Linked DNA regions of Drosophila melanogaster. The protein of the gene in region 1 interacts with the protein of each later gene in a pairwise test. Each region holds a gene or a part of one and is shown on either strand. Other genes may lie near its edges.

Region 1 (6,202 bases):
TGTCTATTTGAATGTTAACCCATCCCAGGTGGAGCCCTTGCTGCGTGAAATATTCGATTTGAAAAATCACTAGACAACCGATGCGTGTCGGGCATTTAATGCCTATGTTGATGCCCAATGATGAATGGTCAACAAGCTGTAGTTGTTGTTGTTGTTGATGTCTGTTTTATCTTGTCGCTTGTAATGTTAGATTTTAATCGAATGTGATTGTTAGATTTGCATATACTGCATAGATTTTATATTTCTACATCAAAGAGAGCATATTTAGGATACCAAGTGCAAAGCAACACAATCTATATGTAATGTACACCGTTTACCTAGTTTCAAATAAACTAGACGATAATGCAATAACTAACTTGGAAGCGTGGGTTCTGTGCAAAAAGGAAAAAAGACAAAAAAAATAAACTGACTTTGAGAACCAGTGGTAATAAAATGTCTCGTATTCTTTTCTACTCGAATGAATTTCGAACCCTCCAGGACAAATTACGCAAACGAGTGATTTTGAACAACAATCCAAAATAATTTAATTCCGAAAGTCACAAAATAAAAATTCGAAGTAGGAAAAAACAAATAAGATGTTTGGAAACCAACGAGAGATGTGCTTCGTTAAAGCATCAACCCGGGGAAACACCACAGCAACCGCGCATGTGTACCCGCGACCAGTCCTCAGAAATCCACGTCGTGTACGTATCCGCAGCCAGCGTATGTGTCCGCATCTGCCGACCCCGTCTTACATAGTCATTTATGTATAATGTAGGTAATATAATAGCTCGAGCTCGCTCCGCACCACCAATGTGCGTCGTGCAAGTCCATTCCAATTGTTATCCGGTCCACTCGCCGCGCAAATCGGCTTTCAGGTTGATTCGCGGCAATCCTTGGCCCATTGCAGAAACTCATCCAACGCGCTGACGGCCAAATTGCGAGAAAGAGCCTTCACACGCAGATTACGATCGGTTGTAATGAGCACCAATTCCGTTTGAATGAAACACTTGCCATCTGCAAAAGAGTTTTAGTTAGAAATGCTATCAGGAAGGACATTTAACGGAAGCAGCTCACCTGTGCATTGTTCGGTTTTTGCCGTTTTCGAGACAGCCATTGCCGTTGCCAGAATCTTGTCGTCATTGGACAAATATTCCTCCTCAACTAGGGCAAACACCGATGCATTGACAAACGAGCCCTTTGTGGTAGCACATCTAGAAAAGAAATCAATAAGGTATTATTGATCAGCAGGAAAAGCTTTCCTGAACAACTATTACTACTGATTTAAAAGTAAAATTTCAATACATTATCAGGAAACTTTTATCTATCTCAATAGCAACCAATGAATTAGACAGAATTATAAATAGCTAATCGCTAGTAAACCCTTTATCAGATATCAGTAATAAAGGAACTATGAGCTGACGCGCGGAATATAATTAACAATAGCTTACTTCACATTGCCTTTGGCCGACTTGATGAACTCTAACGACTTTTTGGCCCGCGACGACACCTCGTCAAAGTGGTGGATGCGCTGCGTCTGCTTCGAACTGCGGTACGAGTCCAACTTAACGCCCTTGGAGAGGCCATCCAGTTCCTTAACCACTGTCAGTGGTATAATAAGTGTGTAGCGTTTAAACTCCGTGGACAGTTTTTCAAAGTCTTCAAGGCAGTCGATAAAGCAGTTGGTATCCGGTAGAAGATAGCGCGGTCGCACCTCGATGTATATTTTCGTGTCCACGAACTTGAGAATGTCCTCCAACTTGCTGGTGCATATCTGCTTAACCCTAGCCTTGGCCTCAAGCTCTTTCTTCAGCTTGCACAGCTCGGAAACATCGGAATCAGTTGAACGACACAACAATTCCTCAACGGCTTTACATTGAATCTTTGAAACGTTCGCCGCAAGACCACAACTTTCAGCATCATAGTTTTCCAATGCGTTCTTCATCGCTGCGTTTAGGTGCTCGACAGTGAAGCTTGATTCCAACGGCTGCTGGAGAGCCTCTTGATGCTGGACGTAGTATTCCTGGAACTGACCAATCCTACGAACACGTTCGAAAAACTGAAGACGTTCGGATCCTCTTTTGAGATAGTCCATGCTCAGCGTTTCACGACCCAACGGAGTGAAACCTCTAAGGGCCACATCCTCATCCAACAGTATTTCGTTTTTCTCAAGTTTGTGCTTCCCCATTAAGCATTCAATGTACTCAAAAAGGATTGTTAGCTCAGCCCAGCAATCGATGAAAGAGTGTCTGCAATATTGGAGTTAATGAAAAACTAATAAAAGGCATTCAATTTATACATACTCTTCCGATCTGACGGGTTCCCACACGTCCAAACTGATGCTCAACCAACGTACATAAACATTCACGAACTGTAGGTATGTGTTCACAGTCGCAAAGCTGAAATAAAAGATTAATTAGCAATAATAAATAAACAAGGCGAATTTTAGCTTACTCTTCTTCTGGGAGACACTGGACATTTGTAGAATCCTCTACAAAACCAGCCAGCAGCTGGTTCGTTTTCTTCATCATGAGTCCAAAGAATGAGTTGGCAAAATTGAAGCTGTGATAACGCATCTCGCGGCGTGACGCTATACAATAATAGAAAGCATTAAGTTTTACCACGATTAGCCGTTATCATTCATACTTTTGGGTTTGTTGTGCTCGACGACGAACAAGTTGAGTGCTACTATTTTCAGCAGTTTGGAGCGTGACAACAGGTTTTCGTGCCTTAAAGCGACGCCTATTTGGATTTGCAGTTTCCTTAGCAACGGGTATAACGAGTCCACACTGTAATCAATTCGAAAGTTAAGTAACCTATCGGTTTTCAACTTTCACATTAAAATCAAAGTTGAATATACTCACTCTGTGCCGGTGTAGAGTTTGCCTAATAAGTACAGATAAAGGGAAACAATGCGAGGAAGAATCTCCTCCGGCGGCATCTCCTCGTAACGATTGACCTCTGCCATAGTGGCCTTGTTGCCCTTCGCCTTGTTGCCCTTGTCATCGGTGCGATGTAGGCGTCTGATCCCATCCGGATAGATCCATACCTCCTTGCGCATCTGCTTCGACTTTTGATTCTTCGATCCAGCTGCATAGTGCATGGGAGATTGCTTCATCTCGGTCTCCTCGTACTTACGCCGAATCTCGTCGAACAAATCCAGCAGGCTTTCCTTGGCAGATTGGATAGAGTTCGAAGTCAACAAGCTGCGGACATAGTAATAAACTGCATCGAAGCGCTTGTGCTAAAGGGGAAATATAAAGATTATAACCACAATAAAGAATTCTGTGTAGCTTTTTTTCTTACGTGATAAATGGAAATGACCGCCAGCTGGTTGAAAGGTGCCCCGTTGCCAGGTACCAGTTCCTGCGCCCTCTGATAGTACCTGGCCGCCTCCATGTAATCTGTGGCCTTGACATGGTTAACCCGGTAGCGCGTCAGATCGCCCAAACAGATGAGCAGCCTCTGGGCCACCACTTTAAGTGCGCTGTCACAGCGCGACGATGCCACGCACTTGGCCATCAGCTTGTCGTAGAGCATGCGGTAAAACTTAATGGCCTGTTCAATCAAAAGGAGCGTATGTGTGTGCGCCTGGTCCGTTTGCTGGCGCTTCAAGTAATTCCGCACATTGTAGAAGAGTAGTTTCCAAAAGAAGACATCAACCTTGTGCTCGCACACGAACTTAAGTTGCTCCAAAAGAAGTTGCTTGAAAGCGTCCTGCAGCTGGTCGTGAATGTAGCAGAAGTTCTTCCAGTTCTGGGCGAGATTACATGATGTTTGTTTAGTGAGGGTGGCTTTTGTTGCCCAGCTATATATACTTACTATCAGTATGAGATTCCTCTGATTGAGGACCATGAGCTGATCGTACAGATGGACTATATTCTTGGCATGGGGCAGACCCAACAGCGGCTCAAACCAATCCGGATGCTCGGTGGTCAAGCGCGTGCGCGTCACTGGCGACTGCGTAGCGTGCTCCTTGTCCTTGCGACCCCTGCGCCGAGCACTGTTACCGCTCTTGTTCTTGCCCTGACCCTGTCCGTTCCTGTTAACATCGCCCGCCACCGAGGTGGTCACGCGCAGGATGCCTGGAATCCCGCCCTCCCACGCCATTTTCCCGCTGGTATCCAAAACGGGTTGCTTTGACTGGGCATCGGGTTTGCCTCCTCCTGTGCTAGCATTGCTCAGGATTTCGACTGTGGCGAAATTAAGAGATGTTATTGACGAACCTATTGTGATGCGTCATGCAAACACTCACCTGGCCTTGAAGCATTTGCTGTCGTAGCCACGGGCTCCGCATTCTCAGCGTTTTCCGTCTCCAACGCCTTTGTTGTTGTTGCCGCTGCTGCTGCGTGGCTGCAGCTGGCCGCGATTTTGTTCTGCAGGCGTTTCGGCAGCGTCCCAATTATCAGCGATATATCATTTTGTTCTCGTGTTCCCTTTCGACTCATATTTTAAACGATGCTTTTGCTGTTGCATTTATTCCTTTCTTGGAAGTTTGTCAAATGTGTAGAGTGTAAATTACGCCTCGAAAAATCTTTAGATCAGCAGTGTGACCGGTGGCCAAGGCGGATGAGTGTGACCAGACCGCTAACAATGCTGTTTGGACTGCTGACATACGCATTTTTTAGGCGCCAGATTTGAATGCCAAATGATTTTCAACGTTTGCTTTAGAATTGATTTCTTTTGACCGGAATGCTTGATTTTTGAAAATATATAGAGATAAACTATCTGCACTTCTATTTTAGCGACAAAATAACCAATTTGCCAGTATGAAATGGAATTCTAAAGGTACATTTAAGCATGGAGAATTCTTAATTTTCATTTTGACCTCAGAACATTACTTACCCATTTCATTCGCCACAGATCACAAAACCAAGATCCATTGTTTCTGCCTCTCATTTAGCCTTCTATTTAAATTTAATTTCAAACTAAAAAAAATAGCTCATCGAATCAGAAAAGTCGTTGCAGTTTGAGTATGAGTTCGCTTTATGTTTGCATGTTTTGTTGGGTTTAATTTTGTTACGTACATGACTTCGTTTATTATACTGTTTCAGTCTTCCACTAACGTATAATTATTGGATAGCGCTGTGAAAGTAATAATATGCGGCCCATATTGCTTTACGTGTAAGTATTATTTAGAAAATACTATTTTAAGCTGGTTGGAAAGGTAAGTTTTTGATCAATCTCTTACAAATAGCGCATTTATGTGTCGAGAGATGTTGGTAGATTAGTCAATGAGTAATTGATGGATTGGTTACTTTAATTATATTATACATACATAAGTCGTGTACACTTTAGATTCAAATAAGTTGTATAAATTGTTACAGTGCAACTACAAGGAATGGCTGAAGCAGACTCCTTGGTGTTTATAAATGTTGTATATATATCGGCAAAATCGATCATTAATTTTTTTATGAACTGTTCAATGTGAGCGTCAATAGATTTATATAAATATTGTAATAAATAATTACGTAAAAATGTTATCATACTTTAATCGTTAATCCTAGATCCCACATGTTCGTTATATATGCTCGCCATGAATCGGGATTTTATCTTGTACACGCAATGGTTAAAAAATCTAAAAATTATAATTTAACGTCTCTAAGCAATTCAACGGATTGTGGGAGTCCATTCAATATCATTTAAAAAAGAATTCTACCGCAGCAGCTCAGTAAATTTATGAATATTCATTGCTTCGCATTTTATCCTTGTCCGTGTCCTGCAATCAAATTCGATTCCAATAATTAGTTAATTGTTAAATCTTTAGATGCAAATGAACCCACCTTAAAGCGCACGCCGATTTTAATTTGTTCAGTACTAAAGTCACGATCTCGGGTTTTTAACCTGGCCTTGTTCGTATTATTGTGTTTGTATTCATTTTTTCGGTTATTGGACCCGTAGTGGGACCCAAAGTCATTTTCTCTGTCAAAGTCCGGGCCATCGCGGTCCTTGAACTGATAGTCGCTGCTTGATTTATGAATGTCGAAGCCTCGACGATACTCGCTGTAATTGTTGTGTGATCCGCCACTGCCGGCGCCACCCCTATGACCTGGATTACGGAAACCAGCTCCTCCTCCAGAATTGAAGTGCTTTTGTGACATGCCGCCGCGTCCGTCGCGATCCCTGTCCTTGTCGTCCGCCTGGCGATTGAAGCTGCGGGCGAGTGGGGCAGGCGCGTGGTTGTTGCCATCGGGCCCATGCATTGGCGGACGCTTCGAGGACA
Region 2 (7,409 bases), on another chromosome or scaffold:
TAAATATTGGAATCATTTTATCAGCGGGAGCTGTGGCACTCAAAAACAAGATAAAATTATTATTAACGAATTGTATTACAGTTACAGCTATTACATCCAAAATGCTTTTAAGTCGTTGAAGGCAGTTGTTTTCAGGGTATGGCCATGGATTCAGAAGCGTTAAAAAGATTTTTATGGGACCGCTTTTTTTATCGCGAAACAAATTACAATCATGTTCTACCGAATTTATCAAAACAAATTAATGTTATCAGCGACTTAAAAGTATTTTTTATTTATTCCGTTCAATGAACTAGTGTTATTTGATATAGGAAGTTAATAATTTTTATAATTAACTATTAAGTTACATATACATATTTGTAAAATTAATTAATTTACCATTATGATATATATTTTTTAGAAAAGTAGCACAAAAGAAATAAAAATGACTAAAAACAAATATAATCCACGGCCCTTGGGTATTTAATATATACAAATATTGGATTTCTTGGCAAAGGCGAAACTTAAATGGTTACTGAACATACGTACAAGGTATTGTAAATTAATAAAATCGACATTCTAAGATTAGTAAAAGAATTTAAGGGAATTTTATATTTTAAACCAAGGTCCAATAAAATGTGTGAGCAAAAACAAAAAGATGGGAAAGTCCTTAAAAGCTCTTTTAAAACAAAATCTAAGAATCTTAGCAATCTTGAAAGTTTCGAAAAATGTTTGCTTTTACACTTTCTTTGGCACTTTGACAACTCAAAGCTCAATATACGATATGCCAATTTGTAGGTGGTGGTACGCCTATTTCTACCCGGATTCGTTATTAAAAAGTACTAGAAAATCAAAAAATTATAAGAATGGGATTCCGGACAATAGATCCAGTTTTTTCCGAGACGACCAAATAAAAAGTACAGATCTCTATCCGCATACTTAAACTGCAATGCTGACTGCTTTTTGCACAGCATTCATTTATGTAAATTTGAAGTGTACAGTGGTACAGCGTTAACGCACAGGATACGAAATACTTTGAATGACATATTTTTAGACATTTTTTGGGATTTATTATACATTTTCCAGCACATTATTCTGGTTTGTGCGTGTGTTAATAAAACCAGATAAATATACAATACATAAAGAAATATATTATATCTACAATTGAATAGGACACACGCATTAAATCAAAATGGATCAACTAACTAAGCTAAATTAAAAGTATCAGTAACGTCGTTTGATTTCCACACACCTTTCATACCAATATGCTATGACCACAAAAATAACAAAACTCAAATTGCTTGACCTTTTGATTTCTTTTTTTAACATTGTAGGTAGTTCTTTTTAGACAAAATAAGCCGCTTGGTTAGCGTCAGTTGTGTGTATGGGAGGTTGTTGTCCGGGAAGGTTCTTGTTTAAGAATAAAAAATCTCTACCGCAGTCTATGCCATGTAGCTATATTCATCGCCCGAGTTCGCCGTTCGCTCAATATATTGTTTGTCAATTAATGACTCCACGCATTTCTTGATCATTGCTATGTTGGGAGTAAAGCTAACCTTCGATAAAGAGAGAACCTAAAGAAAAAATACATCATGTAATTTTAATTCACAGTCAGGTGTTTTAGATATTACCTCTTGTATTAAGGCATTGTGCTTTAAGACTTTACGCGCTTTCATAATCCTTACAATGGCGGCTTGTAGAAAGAGTTTTCGGTCCTCATCTACCGAGTTAATTGTGTGCTCAACCTACATAAATAACGTCGTTAGAAAACCAGGTACCAGGTAACCAGGTTGAAATCGAAATGCCTTACCTCCTGTGGCGTTTCTTTTTGCAAAGCCGAACTTATTTTAAACTTTGTACGCTTATTTGTGTAATCCAAATTTAATTCTATTCGAGTCTCACCGGCGAGATTCTCTGAGCTGGCATTTAAAAGCTTTGACTCGATAATAGGCTGCATGTGCTTTTGAAACGTTTCGTCGTTTAGCTGTAAGGTGTTCTGGATCTCCCGACAACTCAGACTATCACAAGTCTCGAACAGCAGTATTATCGCCATCTGGTATGTTTGCATAGTCACGATATAAGATTTTTTCAAATGGCTCAACTTTAATTCTCCATGACACATGTGATGTAGCCAAGTCAACTTCCGGCCACTAAATAATTTATGATAGTAATCCTCGAACTGAAAAATCATAACAAAGGTACAGTACACGATTAACGTATACATTTAAAATTTCTGAAGTACCTTCGACAAAGTCACACGGTTTAAGATGTATTTGGACCAAAAGAAGTTGCGTTTTGATTTGGTATGCTAAAGTACCTTTATTGAAATAAAGATACTTTTAACTTTCTATATGTCACACATTTCAAGAGAACACCTTACGATGTAGTCGTCGATTTGAAGGAAAGTTTTTTACATAAAGGTTTTTCTGTATTTATTATTATATATTATTTGTATTTATTGCTGCTTTAAATATTTATATATGTTTCTGAATATTGTTAAAAGGCCTCTCTTTAAAAATTTGACTAAATAAAGAAAGTCTGAAAAAAATTTTTTATAACTTTGGTTTGTCAAAGGCAGCTTCTATCTCGTTTTAAAATAAAATATATACATTTACGAAAAACGTACCATTTTAATAGATTTTTCAAATTCCTGTGGTACTGCAAATGGTATAACTTGAGTAGATCCCAAGGGCCACGCGCCCGCCTGCAGTACCTTAATGGCAAGGTTGATGCCTGCATAGAAATACACATACATAAAAATAAACTATCTTTAATGAATATACATTTTCCGTCTCACCTAAGTCCACATTGCTATCCTTAAGGTGAGTATTAAACTTGTTGTTCAGATCTACTGATACCGATATATCCGTAAACATGCGATGAAGTTTATTGGTAAATTCATAACCGCAGGCTTGCTGTAAGTATTAATAAAAGAAGATCTATTTAAGCTAATGTAGTTTTGTAAAAGGGTCATAACAAATTAAAACAGCATTAAAAATAAATAATTCACATTATTGCAGTTATTCACTGTGAAGTACATTTTAGACTAGCAGACCACGCACCTTCAAACGATTGATCATTCCCTCCTCCGCATCCATGCTCTGACTTTGCTCGTGGATTAGGCGCTTGGCTAACAGTCGGCTATAAAACTTTTGATACACATCCTTATCCTCGATATATTTAAATATGGTTATGTTGTTAGTAAGCTTTTGATCGATCTCTGCCTCGCAGGTCTTAGACTTTTTCAGTAGCGTATCACAGTATTTCGCCACATACTCGGCACTACGGCAAGGCTGCCGCTCGGTTGGCCGGCGATTGATAACGCTGGCGCACGCCTTGTCTAATGCGCTCAGGAATAGAGAATCGTTTTCGAAGACGTCTGCGATCAGCTCTTGGTACTTGTGATGTACCTTCAACATATTCTCTACGAACGCAATATGGATGTTTTCGCCCTTCAGCGCAGATACGGTCTGCAGACCTTCACTTTTGATGTGATCGAGGAAGGTGGTTATGAGCTCAGACTTGAGATTATCGGGTATGGGCTTTAGTACGACGTACATGTTGCGTAAGTCTTGGCGCCGCTCCTCTGAAACCATTTCGCGGCACTCCGAGTAGATGAAGCCCAAACGATCGTTAATAAACTTCTCCTCGCACTCTTTACGTAGTTTTGGCAGGGAACTGACGTGTAAAAACTTTTGGGCTCTCCGGCTTTCATATTCCAGTATCCGGATAACCTCCTGCATGTACTCCGACACTGAGCACCGATGGAGCAACTTGTTAGCCTCGTCTGTGTAGTAGGCGCCACTGGCCTCCAGCATGGGGCCTTCAAAGAGTTCCTGGTAGAGCTTAAGCGAGCCTGTTTTCTTATAGTCCTGTACCTCCACGAAGCTGTGTATCACTCCGTTGATAATTTGCACGCGATGGTGATCCAAGGTGCCATTGCTAGCTCTGTCTGCGGCAATGCCCTCGAGTATGTGACGGACCAGTTCGCTGGACAAGTACTCAATCATATACAGGCGCCAAATGTCTAGACCTAGCTCGCCAATCTCCATCTGCTCCGCAGCATCGCTTGACAGATTACCGTAGAACGATTCCGTATCGGTAATCTTTTGTTTCTTGATGTGTTGTTGATTCAGGTAGCTAAAGGAAATTAATTCCAACGATCATTGAGTTATTACAGACTTCGATGCATTCTTACATGTACAATTGGTGCAGATACTTGATACCCTGGCTATATTCCATCCAGGTGATGTAGTAACGCTGGAGAAGGTCTGGGCCACCATTGGAATGGGAGCATTCTCCCTCGATCAGCACCTTTTTGGCCAGCATCTCCTGGACGTGCTGCTCAAGAAAGTGTTTTGTTTCGCCATAAAGACGATCAGCCATCGGTTCCGGCTGCGCCACGCACAGTGTGTAAACGTCGCTATATGTTAAAGGAATGTGATTGGAAAGACAGATGTATTAGTGCTCGTTATTTTAGAAATTTTATTTTGGCAACTCACGCTTCACACATATATACGAACAGTTGCGGTCAGAATAAAAGCAGCCTGCGTTACACTGTTTTGATTATTAATTTTAAAAAGATACGTCATCGATCTATTTAATATTTACTTGAACTTAGTTTAACCTTTAAGCGGTCAAAATATTTAAATTCAAGCTAGAAAACAGGCATTTATTATTAAAACTATGATTGCATTTATCAAGATTCTACGACATTTACCAAATCATTTTCGCCTCGCTAGCAGCTATATTTGTGAATTTTGCTGTTGAATAAAATATATAGTTGAACCGCTAGGTACTAGTACATTCATAGTTTACCAACTCAAATGCAAAATAATGTGATTGAAACCATTACTTATGTTGGATTAATTTAAAAGTTAGTTAGTGTTATTTGTGTTTCTTCTGAGTTGGGTAACTTTGTAGTCTCTAGTGACCTATCACAATATCTCTCTCCAGGCTGTTTAATACTCCGACCGTTGCCAAGACGTACCTGAAGCTAGTATTCCACACCGAGCGCTCCACTTTGGTGAGCGTTATCACCGACTCGGCGATGCAGCGCAGGCGCGGCCAAACATCGACAAACTCCACTATTTTGGGCTTGAGCGACATGTCAAATGGGTCTTAGTCCTAATCCGTGGTCCGTCTGGATATGGATTTGGAAGGGTTTTCTGATGGGACAGGGTGCACGCTAATTAGAACGCCGACTGATTCTGCCTTCGCAAATATAACAATGGGCGACCGAGCGACCCTCATGCGTTGGCAGAGACCACTTCTGCTTTGCTTTTTGGCATAATCGCTTACTTTTTGCGTGGGGGCCACCAGGCAAATGGCCTTGTCCTCGAGCAATTGCACAGCAGGCCAATTACCGCTTGATGGATCGTGGAGGGGCGCGCTTGCGACCTACTCACCTGCTGCTTAGCTACGCTATTTACTAAATAATTACGCCGAGAATTTAGTTATTTTTGCACTTTTTTTTTGGTATCGTGAAATGGTTTGTCAGACGAAGACGATATCGATATAATCTATCGATATTTGAACTCGACAAAAAATTCGATGTAAAAAGAATGTCGTGTCTCCACTACCGAAACGTTTGCTTTTGTTTTGATCTTAATTTATTGTCAACGCCGATCCACTGAACAAATTTTTTACCTTCCTGCCTAAAAACTGGCCAAAGCCATTTTCTTAAAAAACTGTAAGTGCACAAACCTAAATTGATTTCATATGTGAACTGTAATAATGTTAGGATTTTTTATGATTTTCGTTTTTTTCGATTGCTTATACGTATTGCTATTGCTCTCGAGTGCCAACCTTTTTGTTCAAAAGAATATACATTTTCAAAAGATTTCAAAAGTGAGTTAAGGGTTATGCCTTAAAGGTAAGTGTATGATCTAGAAGAATGATCCATTTTGTACAGACCGAGTTTTAAAGGTCTAAACTGTTAAGTGCCTAGATGTGGCTTTCGAAAAGGCAAACAGAGATACATACAAAAAAATACAAATACAAAGAGATAGATACAAAATAAATACATGTTTAATTACTAAGAAAATATATAAAGGCTAAGATAAACAAACGAAAAAACCATTAAGCTTAAAGAAACAAAAATTTACAAAATGTATAGCTCAAAAAATCAGAAAGTCTCATATTTGTCAATGGCTAAGATCGTTGAGCGCCAAATTTTTTTAGTTGTCTGTTGGTTGTCAGTCGATTGGAACTTTTTTATCCACCAAACCGGAAATTTACTCCAAAGAATAAATTGGAGCCACATCCACCGTAGCCGCCGGTGATCAATACTTGCAACCTTCCATATGCGCCAAAAATTGGCACATCGCCTACCACTATTTCCAGCCTTTGTAGCTTCCAAAGGCCATCCACACATTTCACTTTGACCTATCCAATGTAGCAGTCGTCGATCCAAGTGTGATACCATATACTGATGGAGAAATGGATTGAGATGTAAATGATGTAAAAAATAATTAATATATATACCGAGAATTATTTAAAGAATTCGGACTCCGATTTACCAAAAGGTGTGATGTTCTAAGCATTTCAAAACATTTAAATTTTTTGTCTTTGTGTTCGCTTTAACATTGCTTACATTTTCAGTGTTGTGAGACGTCGGTGGTTATCGACTTTAGTGTTTAGAGCTGTGGCATGGGGGGTACTCCAGCCTGAGGAAAGCCTGAGCCATCAGCACGGCAGACGTTTTGTATTTATTTCTTAATCGTTATTTGGAGGTGAATTCCAAAAAATTAAATAAACTTCAAATTGCACGGTATCTTAAAAATGTTGTAATTTCATTATTTGTGTAAAAAGTTTGATTACAATTTAATCCACAGTTTTCGTGGAGATATAATTTTTCTGTGACTACACGCTTTTTACATGCATTGTTTTCGAAACTGGGATAGACAACAGCCAACATATGTAGATACATGTAAATTAAAATTTAAAATTTATTTATCTTATCTTATCCTTAATTTGAAAATGTTCACAATCTCGTCCGGACTTAGACTGATTTTCTAAATCTAAATCCTAATCCACTCAACCTAGAAATTTTTTAGAATTTTCTGGAACTTCAAATATGTTTAGGATAAAAGCTTTATACTGAAATTATTTCACAGCATTGTGAAATTGAAATTTTCTGACTGGTGTTTACTTTAAGTTTGGTTATTTATCTGCTGCTGAGATTGGAGTTTTGAATTTGTATATCAACATGTACGTGGACAACTTGTATATGTCGCAGATCATTTAAATGTAACGACATTTCTAGTAATTGCCTTTTCTATTCTTTTGATGCGCGGCAGAGAACCGTTAGAGTTTCTGGTCGCGGGTAGGAGCGGGTGCAAGTAGATTTCTGCAGGAATAACGGAAGCGTACAGAAAAATGCGGTGTGCACTAGTGCGGACTGGAGTGGGTCTCCAAAATGTGTTGGCAAT

Evidence for each region. The genes of interacting proteins can lie anywhere in the genome.
Region 2: the proteins of Smg6 (region 1) and Cul2 interact in a two-hybrid assay, tested with the Drosophila melanogaster proteins (one large-scale study listed by BioGRID).

What each region holds. Positions count from the first base shown.
Region 1 is NT_033777.3:25,028,926-25,035,127, forward strand, and holds Smg6 (Smg6), read right to left. Parts: upstream 4,541-6,202; 5' UTR 4,428-4,540; coding exon 4,235-4,427; intron 4,173-4,234; coding exon 3,802-4,172; intron 3,736-3,801; coding exon 3,286-3,735; intron 3,224-3,285; coding exon 2,844-3,223; intron 2,769-2,843; coding exon 2,626-2,768; intron 2,570-2,625; coding exon 2,434-2,569; intron 2,379-2,433; coding exon 2,283-2,378; intron 2,229-2,282; coding exon 1,431-2,228; intron 1,194-1,430; coding exon 1,057-1,193; intron 997-1,056; coding exon 854-996; 3' UTR 504-853; downstream 1-503. Other genes in the region: Hr96 (hormone receptor-like in 96), read left to right, coding at 1-73; Ythdf (YTH N6-methyladenosine RNA binding protein), read right to left, coding at 5,657-5,698, 5,763-6,202.
Region 2 is NT_033779.5:21,656,830-21,664,238, reverse strand, and holds Cul2 (cullin 2), read right to left. Parts: upstream 5,505-7,409; 5' UTR 5,278-5,504; intron 5,145-5,277; 5' UTR 5,086-5,144; coding exon 4,967-5,085; intron 4,400-4,966; coding exon 4,175-4,399; intron 4,117-4,174; coding exon 3,039-4,116; intron 2,892-3,038; coding exon 2,774-2,891; intron 2,710-2,773; coding exon 2,603-2,709; intron 2,156-2,602; coding exon 1,787-2,155; intron 1,722-1,786; coding exon 1,608-1,721; intron 1,551-1,607; coding exon 1,419-1,550; 3' UTR 541-1,418; downstream 1-540.